2 linked regions of the Stegostoma tigrinum genome follow. Each later gene encodes a partner of the first gene's protein in a complex. Links are inferred from orthologs where the notes say so. Each region holds a gene or a part of one and is shown in the gene's direction. Other genes may lie near its edges.

Evidence for each region.
Region 2: actin-related protein 2 (region 1) and actin-related protein 2/3 complex subunit 5-like share a complex: the UniProt entries of both Homo sapiens proteins name them as parts of the arp2/3 complex. The link is inferred for Stegostoma tigrinum from reciprocal best matches to the Homo sapiens genes ACTR2 and ARPC5.

The regions. Positions count from the first base shown.
Region 1 is NC_081362.1:2,370,230-2,377,541, forward strand, and holds the start of actin-related protein 2, read left to right. Parts: upstream 1-4,303; 5' UTR 4,304-4,426; coding exon 4,427-4,474; intron 4,475-7,312. Other genes in the region: zgc:153169 (N(4)-(Beta-N-acetylglucosaminyl)-L-asparaginase), read right to left, coding at 3,826-3,940. UniProt on the Homo sapiens protein: ATP-binding component of the Arp2/3 complex, a multiprotein complex that mediates actin polymerization upon stimulation by nucleation-promoting factor (NPF).
Region 2 is NC_081361.1:45,984,417-45,991,239, reverse strand, and holds the start of actin-related protein 2/3 complex subunit 5-like, read left to right. Parts: upstream 1-3,808; 5' UTR 3,809-3,920; coding exon 3,921-4,061; intron 4,062-6,823. UniProt on the Homo sapiens protein: Component of the Arp2/3 complex, a multiprotein complex that mediates actin polymerization upon stimulation by nucleation-promoting factor (NPF).

The DNA.
Region 1 (7,312 bases):
AGACTTCTGATCTTGATCGCTCTTGTTGCTCCACACATCCGCCTCAGTCTGTCCACCTCATCAGTATCCTGTTGTGCCTCTCTTCCTGGTGTTGCCCCGATTGCTGCATGATAATAGGCCACACTGGCCTGTAGATTCTCCCTCTGAGTTTCAGTAATACTTCCCAATCACAACACACCACTGTCCTTCCCTAATTACTCCATTCAGACCCCATCCACCTTCCAGCACCAGTGACCTCCTGGTACTCGCTTTCTCTACGTCTTCACCAAGATTCTTTATACCTTCTCTAGGCTCAAACTGGAAGTGCATAAATTGGATGCAATTCTTTGCTGGAGAATACGAATAACCTGACAGGTTTATATGACAACATTGTTTCATAATTGCGATGGCTGATCATAAGTTGATCATCTGAATAAAAAGTTAACTTAAAATCCACATGTGCCATAGTTGGATTCTGAAATGCTGTCTTATGATAACAAGTCTTGATCTTGAAAATCATTAATCCAATCATGCAGCTCAGCCTGTGTTTCACAGCACACAGTGCAACAAGCGATACAGAAAGATCAAATCAAGTTTCAATCACAATGCTTTCCAAAAATGTGCTGATAGATTCGCTAGCAGTAACTTACACAACCTCTATTTGTGTTGAGCTATGAACACTGGTGCACAGGGGTCTCAAATCTCATGAAAAACAAACACTTCATTTCTAATCTTCCTCTCCGAAGTCTGCTGCTTGCTGTTTATTGGGTAAATCAAAAATTGCTTTCTGACGAGAACATAATGCATCACAAAATTCAGACATTCAGGCAGGTCAAACTCAGTTGGCTTTGACTCGTCTCCTGAAGTTAAACTTTGCACTGAATTTCTATACAGTACATTTCTGCAGCCCTTTCCAGACGTCCTGAGATCACAAACTGCAGAACAAAAATAAAAGTAATTCTTTTACACAAGATTATGAACACAATTTGGAATCGCGGGAGATTAAACAGAACTGTTCCAAATCCTTAGAGAAGTTTTTAAAATCATGCGAGGTAGAGATGAGGGGAATAGTCAAGGTCTTTCCCTTAGGGTAAGGGAGTCCAAAACTAGATGGTGCAGGTTGAAGGTAAGAGGGAATAGATTTAAAAGGGACATGAGGGGCAACTTTTTCACACAGACGCTGGTGCGTATAGGCAATGAACCCAGACGAAGAAACAGACGTGGGGACATTCACATCGAAAAGGTATCTGGATGGGATGTGAATAGAAAATGTTTAAGACCATATGACATAGGAGCAGAAATTAGGCCATTCGGCCTATCGAGTCTGCTCCGACATTTAATCATGGCTCTTAAGTTCCTCAACTCCATTCTCCCGCTTTCCCACCGTAAACCTTGACCCCCCCTTGATAATCAAGAAGCTATCTATCTCAGTCTTAAATGTACTCAATAACCTGGCCTCCACAGCCTTCTGTGGCAGTGACTTCCATAGATCCACCATTCTCTGGCTGAAGATGTTTCTTCTTATGTCCGTTCTAAAAGACGTTCCCTTGACTCTAAGACTGTGTCCTAGAGTCCTAGACTCCAATGGAAGCATCTTCCCAACATCCACTTTGTCCAGGCCATTCAGTATTCTGAAAGTTTCAATCAGATCGCCCCCTCAAGTCCTCTCAAAATAAATGCCAACATTGCATTTGCCTTCCTGACTATGGACTCAACCTGAAAGTTTACCTTGACAGAATCTTGAACTGGATCTCCCAAGTCTCTTGGTACTTCAGCCTTCTGAATTTTCTCCTCATTTAGAAAACAGTCCATGCTTTTAGTCTTCTAACCAAAGTGCATGACCTCACACTTTCCCACGTTGTAATCCATCTGCCACTTCTTTGCCCAATGTCCTAACCTTGTGCTGCCGAACCAATTCCTCAATACTACCTGTCCCTCCACCTATCTTTGTATCGTCCACAAACTTAGCCAGAATGCCCACAGTTCCTTCATCCAGATCATTCATGTACAAAGTGAAATGTTGTGGTCCCAGCACTGACCCTTGTGGAACACCACTTGTCACCAGCTTCCATCATGAGAAAGACCTCTTTATTCCCACTTTCTACTTTCTGCCAGACAGCCAATCTTCTATACATGCTAGAACCTTGCCTCTAACACTGTGGGCCCTTATCTTATTCAGCAGCCTCCTGTGTGGCACCTTTCAAAGGCCTTCTTGAAGTAGAGGTAGACAACATCCATTGGCTCTCCTTGGTCTACCCTGCTCGTTACTTCCTCAAAGAATTCTAGCAGATTTGCCAGGCATGACCTCCCCTTGATGAAACCATGCTGACTTTGCCCTATTTCACTCCACTTCCAAATATTCAGAAATCTCATCCTTTACATGGATTCGAAAATCCTACTAATGACAGACGTTAAGCTAATCAGCCTATAATTTTCCATTTTTTTACCTTACTCCCTTTATAAGCAGGGGTGTTACATTAGCAATTTTCCAGTCCCTGGGGCCCTCCCTGACTCTAGCGATTCCTAAAAGATCACCACTAACGCTTCCACTATCTCCTTTAGAATTCTGGGGTGTAGTCGATCTGATCCAGGTGATTTGTCCACCTTCAGGCCAATCAGTTTTACCAGCACCTTTTCCTCGGTGATGGCCACCATACCCAGCTCCACCCCAGCTCTCTTGAATTTTTGGGATATTACTCATGACTTCCACCTTAACAACTGCCGCAAAGTAATTATTCGGTTCCTCAACCATTTCCTTGTTCCCCACTATCTCTCCATCTTCATTTTCCAGTGGTGGAATGTCCACTTTGGGCTCTCTTTTGCCCTTTAATATACCTAAAGAAACTCTTACAGCCTTCATTTATATTACTGGCCAGCTTACTCTCATATTTAATCTTCTCCCTCTTTTTTTTTGTTGCCTTCTGTTGATCTTTGTAAGCTTCCCCGTCCTCTGTTTTCCCACTGCCCTTTGCCACATTACTAATTACTCTTTTATTTTTATTCTAACCCTGACTTCCTTAGTCAGCCTTGGTTGCCTCATCCTCTCTGTACCATGCTTCTTTTTCTGAGGGATGAATTTTTGCTGTGTCTCCTGAATTACTTCCAGAAACTCTCGCCATTGCTGTCCACTGTCTTTCCTGCTAGGCTCTTCTTCCAATCAATTCTGCCCAGCTCGTCTCTCATAACTCTGTAGTCGCCTTTATTCAGTTGTAATACTTCTATCTTCTCCCTCTCAAATCACTGCTTCCTAAGGGTTCCTTTACCTTTAGCTCCTTTATCAAGTCTGTCTCATTGCAAAACACTAAATTCAGTATTGCATGTTCCTTCATGGGGTCCACCACAAGCTGTTCCAAAAAGCCATCTCACAGACATTCCACAAACTACTTTGCTTGCAATCCACTACCAACATGTTTTTCCCAGTCCACTTGCATATTGAAATCCCCCATGATCACTGTGACTTTGCCTTTCTTACACAGCTTTTCTATCTCCTGGTGTATCTTGCACCCCATTTTATGGGGATAAGAGCCAAATGCTGACAAATGGAACTAGTTTGGTTTGGGATTCTCCAGTGGCGTGGATAAGATGGACTGAAAGGTCTGTCTCCAGTTTGTATGACAAAGTATCTATCAAAGGAAACGAGCTGCGTTGTCGGAGGGTCAGCGCCGAGCGAGCGGGCAAACCGTCGGAGGGTCAGTGCTGGCGGGGCGCCGCACTGTCGGAGGGTCAGTGCTGACGGGGCGCCGCACTGTCGGAGGGTCAGTGCTGAGGGAGCAGGTACTCTTTAGAACTTGGAGAACTGCTGTTGTGGGTGTAAAGGCCGGCACGACCATCATGAAAATACATCACCTGCCATAGCCTCCTGGACGGTGGCCGAGGCCCCGCGGCCGGTCGCCAACAGCAACCGGGCCTTGTCCACCGCAGCCAGCGAAAAGGCCCAGGTTCCAACGACCGCCGCCGCCATAGCAACCAACCCTGCACTCTGATTGGCCCCCTTTAGGGACCAATCACATTAAAACAATCATTCAAGCTGAGAAGAAATGTTTTGTTAAGCTTTAAAGAATATCAGATCACAGTACAAGAACTAGAACTTAAAAGATACCTTAAATATTCTTCAAAAAGACTTATTTTAGACTTCCCCCTCCAATGTCCCGCCCACCGGTCGCTTCCCGAAGTTTATTGGTTAGCCGGGCGCGGAGCGTTATCAACCAATTAATATTGAAGTGTCCTTACCGACCCCGCCTCCTCACTGCCAATCAACGGCACTCTGCCCACCTCACGTCAATCACGACGTTTCTGGCAGCACCCGGCCACGCCTATCGGAAGCGGAGTGTCACGTGGGAACGGCGCGCCCTCTGGAGCGGGAGCGAGCGGACAGTGATTTCCGGTGTCGGGAGGCGGGTGGAAAGTTTCACCGGGACAGAGGGCGGTAGCGGTTCGGGAGCGGACCATGGACAGCCAGGGTAGGAAGGTGGTGGTCTGCGACAATGGCACTGGGGTAAGTGCTGGCTCTTCGGCCCGCCGTCCCAGGGGAAGGTATGAGGAAGTGAGGCGCCGTCTGGGATTGGGGGAGGGGGTGGTATCTGAGGCAGTCACACCACCACCTCAATAACCCACTAACCCACTAACCCACCAACCCACCAACCCACTAACCCACCAACCCACTAACCCACCAACCCACCACTCTCCCACCCCCCCCCCCCCACTCTCCCACCCCCCCCCCACTCTCCCACCCCCCCCCCCACTCTCCCACCCCCCCCCACTCTCCCACCCTCCCCCCCCCCCACTCTCCCACCCTCCCCCCCCCCCACTCTCCCACCCTCCCCCCCCACTCTCCCACCCTCCCCCCCCACTCTCCCACCCTCCCCCCCCCCCACTCTCCCACCCTCCCCCCCCCCCCACTCTCCCACCCTCCCCCCCCACTCTCCCACCCTCCCCCCCCACTCTCCCACCCTCCCCCCCCACTCTCCCACCCTCCCCCCCCACTCTCCCACCCTCCCCCCCCACTCTCCCACCCTCCCCCCCCACTCTCCCACCCTCCCCCCCCACTCTCCCACCCTCCCCCCCCACTCTCCCACCCTCCCCCCCCACTCTCCCACCCTCCCCCCCCACAATTCCACCGCCTCCTTCCTTCCCCACCCCCTGACAATTCCACCGCCTCCTTCCTTCCCCACCCCCTGACAATTCCACCCCCTCCTTCCTTCCCCACCCCCTGACAATTCCACCCCCTCCTTCCCTCCCCACCCCCTGACAATTCCCCTCCCTCCTCCTCTCCCCAACCCCCCCACAATTCCACCCCCTCCTTTCCCCATACCCCCCCTGACAATTCCACCCCCTCCTTCCTTCCCCACCCCCTGACAATTCCACCCCCTCCTTCCTTCCCCACCCCCTGACAATTCCACCCCCTCCTTCCTTCCCCACCCCCTGACAATTCCACATCCTCCTTCCTTCCCCACCCCCTGACAATTCCACCCCCTCCTTCCTTCCCCACCCCCTCCTTCCTTCCCCACCCCCTCCTTCCTTCCCCACCCCCTCCTTCCTTCCCCACCCCCTCCTTCCTTCCCCACCCCCTCCTTCCTTCCCCACCCCCTCCTTCCTTCCCCACCCCCTCCTTCCTTCCCCACCCCCTCCTTCCTTCCCCACCCCCTCGTTCCTTCCCCACCCCCTCGTTCCTTCCCCACCCCCTCGTTCCTTCCCCACCCCCTCCTTCCTTCCCCACCCCCTGACAATTCCACCCCCTCCTTTTCTCCCCACCCCCTCCTTCTCTCCCCATACCCCCCTGACAATTCCACCCCCTCCTTTTCTCCCCACCCCCTCCTTCTCTCCCCATACCCCCCTGACAATTCCACCCCCTCCTTCCCTCCCCACCCCCTGACAATTCCACTCCCTCCTTCTCTCCCCACCCCCCCCACAATTCCACCCCCTCCTCTCCCCATACCCCCCCTTACAATTCCACCCCCTCCTTCTCTCCCCATACCCCCCTGATAATTCCACCCCCTCCTTCCCTCCCCACCCCCTGACAATTCCACCCCCTCCTTCCCTCCCCACCCCCTGACAATTCCACCCCCTCCTTCTCTCCCTACCCCCCCACAATTCCACCCCCTCCTTCTCTCCCCATACCCCCCTGATAATTCCACCCCCTCCTTCTCTCCCCATACCCCCCTGATAATTCCACCCCCTCCTTCTCTCCCCATACCCCCCTGATAATTCCACCCCCTCCTTCCCTCCCCTCCACCCCCTCCTCTCCCCACCGCCCCCACAATTCCACCCCCTCCTCTCCCCATACCTCCCCCTGACAATTCCACCCCCTCCTTCTCTCCCCACCCCCTGACAATTCCACCCCCTCCTTCTCTCCCCACCCCCTGACAATTCCACCCCCTCCTTCTCTCCCCACCCCCTGACAATTCCACCCCCTCCTCCTCTCCCCACCCCCCCCACAATTCCACCCCCTCCTCCTCTCCCCACCCCCCCCACAATTCCACCCCCTCCTCCTCTCCCCACCCCCCCCCACAATTCCACCCCCTCCTCCTCTCCCCACCCCCCCCACAATTCCACCCCCTCCTCCTCTCCCCACCCCCCCCCACAATTCCACCCCCTCCTCCTCTCCCCACCCCCCCCACAATTCCACCCCCTCCTCCTCTCCCCACCTCCCCCACAATTCCACCCCCTCCTTCTCTCCCCATACCCCCCCCCACAATTCCACCCCCTCCTCCCCTCCCCACCCAACCCCCCCTCCACAATTCCAGCCCCCCCTCCCCTCCCAAAATTCCACCCCAAACCCCCACGTTTCCATCCCCTCCTCACCCTCCCTGCCAACCCCACCTGCTTTCCTTGACCTCCCCAACACCATTCTTCCACTACTTTATCCCTTTTCACCCATTCCCCCTGCTTCCCCCAAAATCTGTGTATTGGAATTGCAAGAGTTTAACTGTTTGTCTGGCTGAGGACGTTTGCTGTTTGCAAATTGATTGCTGTCTTTTCTGCAATGGTTTGAACATCCTTCAAAAGTCATGAGCTTTAAAGTTAGAGAATGTCGTAGGAGAATTGTCTGTTAGGTTTGAGTAGTTTTCTATCAATGTATCCTTCTACTATTTTCTCCATTATATGCTTCTTTAAGTTCCCTTCAAGGGCATCAGAGCTGCTGGCCTCGACTGCTCCCTGTGGTGATAGGTTCCGCTCACCATTCTGGTGAAGCCATTTCACTTGGATTCTGACTGGATTTATTTGTGGTAACATTTTTCATAGTTGCCAGTTCTTGTCCTCTGCACAAGTGGAAGCAAGTTTTCTTGTTTCTGTCAGACATACCATAATTTCAGAGATCACTATCTTATGAGTC
Region 2 (6,823 bases), on another chromosome or scaffold:
TGATCCCTCCATATATAGTCTGTGAATTTCTATTGTCACAGGCAATTTGGATTTCCTGCTATAAGTTGATTTGGTGTTTATTTGCACATTATCTCTCTCTATCTTTTGCATGGGTTTCTTGGCCGGTTTAAGGTCATGTGGTTTTTACTTAGCCATTAATTTACATTGTGCGTCATGTAGACTTTGTTTTTTGCATTGAAGACAGGTGTTGTTACAGCTGCATAGGTCTTAAACTTGATGCACAGCCAGATACAGAACAAGGCCTCATACTCAAAATGCATTGTCTGACCTGGCTTGTCATCTCTAGTGTACTGAGGGAACTGATAAAGCATTTATTTATCTTTGGGCTGTGATTTGAGAGAAATTCAGGAATTTGCATATTAATCTTTTCGAACTGATTAAATATTTAATAGCCATTTTAAATTGCTCAACATCACATCAGTTCTATGACCCTTTGATCTTTTGTTTATAAATTCTGCATCCGATGCCACCTCTCTCACTGATACCTGAAGAAGGAGTGAGACTCCAAAAGCTCATGCCTTCAAATAAACCTGCTGGAATATAACCTCATATCATGTCATTTTTGACCTTCACCACCTCAGTACAACACCAGCATCTCCATATCGTGACTTCAACATGTACAAATTTACGTGGCACTTTACTGCCCTCACCAAAGGCTGTTATCCAGAGGAAGGAGGGAAAACCAAGGTTAGGCCCTAATCAGTTGGAGGAGTTGCTAAGAGGTACAAATTTCAGAGAAACCTCGGTTGTCAAATGGGAATCCAGGCTGGATTTTAGGTGTAATTTACTCCCTTAACTATTAACTCTTGACATTGTTGTTGATGTTAACAGGACTTCTCACAACAGTACTCTCTTCTCCCTGGCACTGTTCATAATAGCTGCAGCTTGATTGATAATGTGTATCATTAAAAATATGGCTTGGCCAATATCGTTATCCAAAGCTTTCTTTTCAAAGAACAATCTATAGATGATGTCCGACCATTGGAAGCACAGTTGCTTTCTCCCCTTTAGATGCTAACCATGGGACGTGGAACCCCGAAGGAGATTAGATATATGTACACAGGCCAGGAAATGAACAATGCAATGTACCTTTCACAGAATACCACACTAGGTGGGCAATACCCACATCCATTGGGTCATGTACGCACTAATTATTTTAAACTATTGAAATATTTTTGGGTAACTGCAACAGTGGTATTCTGTGCCACCTGAATTTTGATCTGATTGGTTCCAGATGATGTCACTCATAGATGCACAATCCAGCTTCTTCTCTCAGGGCTTTAGTACACTGAGCGATCTCGAAACTTACAAGAAACAGCTTGCAGAGCGGGTTTGTGTGAAGCTTGTAAAATGCTCCTGTATTTTCATTCTGGACTGAGCACATTAACTCTGTTTTTCTCTGCGCAGATGCTTCAGGCCTGCTAAACTTCTCCAGCACTCTCTATGTTTGTTTTAAATGCCTTTATTTGGTGATCCATCATTCTTGTTTTTCCACAAGTAAAACAAACCCAGTCTGACAATCCTTTTTGATTAAACATGCCCACGCTGTTAAGGTATCATCTACACAAATCAGTCCTGAATTGAAATGCTGGGGTCACACTGGGAGGCAGAAAAGGCTGTTATGGAAATCTGACTAAATGCTTAAAGCTGCACCTCCCCTTTAAACTGTTGGAAATTTTTTGCAGTGAGTGAAGCCTAAGCAGCCAAACTTTGAGGCCTGAATGATGTGTTGATAAATTTTGTGGATAACTAGGTGTTGTTTAAATGTAAAAAGTCTATGGATGAAGCAGTTCCATTCTGTTAATCCCAGGTCTCACATATTATTATCTGAATGGCAATTCATTGGGAAAGGCGGAGGTGCAACAAGGCTAGTGTGTCCTCATACACCAGTCACTGAAAACAAGTATACAAATGGAGCAGGCAGTGAAGAAGGCAAATGGTGTGTTGCCAGCTACAATGTGAGGACTCAAATATAGGAGCAGGGATGTCTTGCTATAGAATCTTGTACAGGGCCTTGATAACAACTGTAGTATTATGTTCGCTTTTGGTCACCTTACCTAAGGAAGGAAGTTCTGTCTACGAAGGGAGTGCAACAAATGACAGAATTAACTGGAATGACAGGACTGACATACAAAGAGAAATTGTACCGATTAGGACTATGTTCACGATTCATAGAAACTGATTAAATTCTAACAGGTCTAGACATAGTAAATGCAGAAAGGATGTTCTCAATGACCAGAGATTCCAGAACCTGGGGTCATAGCCAAAGGTTATGGGCAGGACTGAGAAGAGGAGAAATTTCTCCACCCAGAGTGCTGAGCCTGTGGAATTCTCTCACAGAAAGTGATTCATGGCAAAACATTAAATGTTTTGAAGAAGGAATCAGACATAGTTCTTAGGGTATGGGACAAAAGCAGGAACAGGATATTGTATAGAATGATCAGCCATGACCATATTGAATGGAGGAGCGGGATCAAAGTGCCAAATGGCCAACCCCTGTTCCTATTTTCCATGTTTTTATCTCCCCCTACCTCAACACCCCACCATACCTCCAGATCCGGGCTCAGATTTGTTGTCAGATGCCAAAATGGGGTCACAATGTGAAAACGTTTGGGAAGTAAGTGTTGTAAACCTTCTTTAATCCCACTTCACTGCCTCAAAATTCTTTTTATAACACAGGAATGCCACAGTATCTTTTGTCTTAGCTTACCAAGATTTTAGCCAGGCAAATTCAGTATCACTTCTCTCACTTTCAATTTGATTTGTCTAGAAATAAAGCCCACTGCAAGGGTTCCCATTTTTGTGGACAGGCTTTAGTGATTGATGTATTTGCATTCGCAGCTCGCCTTGCTCCTCTGCTCATCAGATGCTCACACCTTCCAGATAATAAGTGCCCCCTCCCTTTCTTCTTGCCCAAATATACTTCATCCTGTCATCAGGTCTGAAGAAGAGTCATGCGGACTTGAAATGTTAACTCTGTTTCTCTCTACACCTCAGATGCTGCCTGACCTGCTGAGCTTCGTCAACATTCTATTTGTTTCACTTTGTCTTACCTCTGAGTTAGAAACATAAACCTAGATCAACAATGCAAGCTACAGCATGGTAAGACTCACTGCAATTCAGCAACAATTGGAGAAGAATGTCACAGAAAGTCTTGTGGCGTAGTGGTAGTGTTCTCACCTCTGACCAAGGGGGCTGAGTTCTTGCCCTCCCCGCCCTGGAATAGAAACGTTATGAAACAACCAGGATAAATGTTCAGTGTCAATCTTCCAATTGTGGTGGAGGAACACAGCAGGTCAGGCAGCATCAGAGGAGCAGAAAAGTCGAGGTTGGCTTTCCTGCTCCCCTGATGCTGCCTGACTCGCTACGTTCCTCCAGCTCCACACAGTGTTATCTCTGACTCCAGGATCTGCAGTCTCTGAGGGTAAAGAGGGTCGTATAGCGCACTGGACTCGGAGACCAAATACAAGTCCCACCTGCTTCCAAAGGCGTGTTAACAACACCCTTGAACAGGTTGCTTAGAAAAATATCAAAAATACCCAAAAGAGCACGGATGAGAAATGTATGGAAGGAGCAGGCAGTGGAGCTAGTTTTGTTTGGAATTATGCTCGGCATAACCTGGTTGTCCTGTTTCCGTGCTGCACAGCTCGACATCAACCTTCAGTTGCTGTGAACCGACACAGCGCTCACGCTTCACCTGGGCAGGTCTCGGGGGCGCTTATGCGCGTACGCGGCGTGCACGCGCTTGGGGCGGTGCGCAGGCGCAGAGTGGAGCGGGTCTTCCCTCCACCTCTGACCCCCCCCCCGCACCAAGACCGCCCCGTGCGGAAGCGGTGGCCTCGAGTTCAGTGAGTGACGGTTGGAAGCTGCTCCGTGTTGTCTCTCCTCTGCCCGGCGACATGTCCAAGAACACCAGCGCCGACAAGTTCCGTCGGGTTAATGTCGATGACTACGACGAGAACAACTACGTGGACGAAGAGGAAGGAGGCGAGAACCAGCTGGGTCCCGACGAAGTCGAAGTGGACGCTTCCATCAGGCAATATCCTTCCTGAGTTCGGGCCGCGGGCGTCGGGTGGGGAAGATGGAGGTGGGGAAGCGGCGGTACCGGGGCTCTAGGCCCTCGGGCCAACTCAGGAATGAACAGTACCTGAGGATGCAGTCCCAGAGAGAGCGGTACCGGGGCTGTACAGTCCGGGTGGCCCGCTTCCTTACAGACTCTGAACTGTTCATTCACTCAGTAGGAAGTCCCTGCCTGACGGCTGCACCCGCTGCATTTTCTTGTGATCTGGGCGTGGTGTTTTTTTTATAATTTAACTTGCATTGCAACCGTTTAAACATTATCTGAACACCTTAATTATTTGAACTTCTGCATTTAATGCGATTGGTTTATTTATTTTTGAAATGTTTCCTTTACCGGCGAGATTTAGCTCTAAGAATCTCTTGTATTTGCATAGTGTCAGTTGCATTCTAGGGTGGGACACAAATGCTGAAGCTTTGGCCCCTCTCGGAAGAACCTGGCTGAAGGTTCAGTCCCGAAGTAGGCTAGGATGTCGGTTAGTTTAAGATCAAGGCAGTGGCAGTTTGCCTCAGCTAAACAGGGGATTCGTAGAACAGACAGGCGTGAGGATATGAAGAAGTTTAAAGATGACAATTTTATTTTGCTTTCGTGAGCGTTTCAGTTCATATTTACGGAGGGTGGATATTACGGGAGTGTACTGTTAAATGCAGGCTGGGACTTGGATATTTGTGGACTGGAATTCTTGCAGGTTGTAATTCAGGAGACAGTTGAGGATTGGATTGGATGAATCAGGCTAAGGGTTGCATTAAGCAAAAGGTCAGAGTGCTTGACAGAATATCAAACCACAGAAGGACACATTCGGACAAGTGACCAAAAGCTTGTTTGATTTGACAGGCTTTCAACAACATCTTAAAGGAAGAACTAAAGACGTGTAAGAAGGGTATTTCAGATCCTGGAGCCTGAAGGCATGGTTGCGAGTGGTAAAGCAGTGAAAATCAGGAATGAGCAAGATGTGTGGTAGAATTGTTCAAGTGGAAAAGGGCAAGAAGCATGGCTGTGGAGGGAGTTGAAAACAAGAAGATTTTTAAAATCAGGGAATACCTGAATGGGAATCATTTTAAGTCAGTTCAAACCATAAGACATAGGAGTGGAAGTAAGGCCATTCGGCCCATCAAGTCCACTCTGCCATTTAAATCATAGCTGATGGGCATTTCAACTCCACTTCCCTGCACTCTCCCCATAGCCCTTGATTCCTTCTGAGATCAAGAATTTGTCGATCTCTGCTTTGAAGGCATCCAATGTCCCAGCCTCCGCTGCACTCCGTGGTAATGAATTCCACAAGCCCACCACACTCTGGCTGAAGAAATGTCGTCTCATTTCAGTTTTAAATTTACCGCCTCTAATTTTAAGGCTGTGCCCATGGGTCCTAGTCTCCCCTCCTAATAGAAACAACGTCTTAGCGTCTACCCCTTCTAAACCATACATTATCTTGTAAGTTTCTATTAGATCTCCCCTCAACCTTCTAAACTCTAATGAGTACAATCCCAGGATCCTAAGCCGTTCATCATACTTTAAACCTACCATTCCAGGGATCATCTGTGTGAATCTCCGCTGGACACGCTCCAGGGCTAGTTTGTCCTTCCTGACCTGTGAGGCCCAAAATTGGACACAGTATTCTAAATGGGGCCTAACTAGAGCTTTATAAAGCCTCAGAAGCACATCACTGCTTTTATATTCCAACCGTCTTGAGATAAACGACAACATTACATTCGCTTTCTTAATTACGGACTCTACCTGCAAGTTAACCTTTAGAGAATCCTGGACCAACACTCCCAGATCCCTTTGTACTTCTGCTTTACGAATTTTCTCACCATTCAGAAAATAGTCCATGCCTGTATTCTTATTTCCAAAGTGCAAAACCTCACATTTATTCACATTGAATTTCATCAGCCATTTCCCGGACCACTCTTCTAAACTGTCTAAATCTTTCTGCAGCTTCCCCACCTCCTCAGTACCACCTGCCTGCACACCTATGTTTGTATCATTGGCAAACTTCGCCAGAATGCCCCCAGTCCCTTCATCCAGATCATTAATATATAAGGTGAACAGCTGTGGCCCCAACACTGAACCCTGCGGGACACCACTCGTCACCTATTGCCATTCCGAAAAAGAGCCTTTTATCCCAACCCTCTGCCTTCTGACAGGCAGCCAATACAGCAAACAGGTGATAAGTAAGTGGGATAACAAGGTGTAGAGCGTCTGGTTTTCTGAAGAAGGGTTTTGAGCCAAAACGTCAGCTTTCCTGCTCCTCTGCTCCTTGGCCTGCTGTGTTCATCCCACTCTACACCTTGTTATCTCAGATTCTCCAGCATTGGCAGTTCCTGCTATCATAAGTAAATGGGACGTAGGTTAGCAAATGGGCAGTTGTGTTTTTGATGAGTTCAAGTTTGAAGACATTGCAAGGTCGGAAGCTCACCAGTGTGGAAAGATTGGTAATAAATATACAACTAACTAAGGCATCAACTAGATTTCATCGGTAGATGAAATGAGGCATGTTTAGGACAGGTGATGTTACAACCATGTAAGTGGCAGTTTTGGCAGTAGAGAGGATGTAGGGTCAGAAGTTCAGATCAGGGTTGTTTGTAATGGCAAATTTGTGAACGTTCCAGCTTCAGACTGTGCCCACAAGCAGGTCATTGAAGGGAGATTACGGCATTTTTTTTTGATGGCAGTAAATAAAGATCAAGAATGTAAAGCGTGAGGAAGGTGATAATTAAAGGGTGC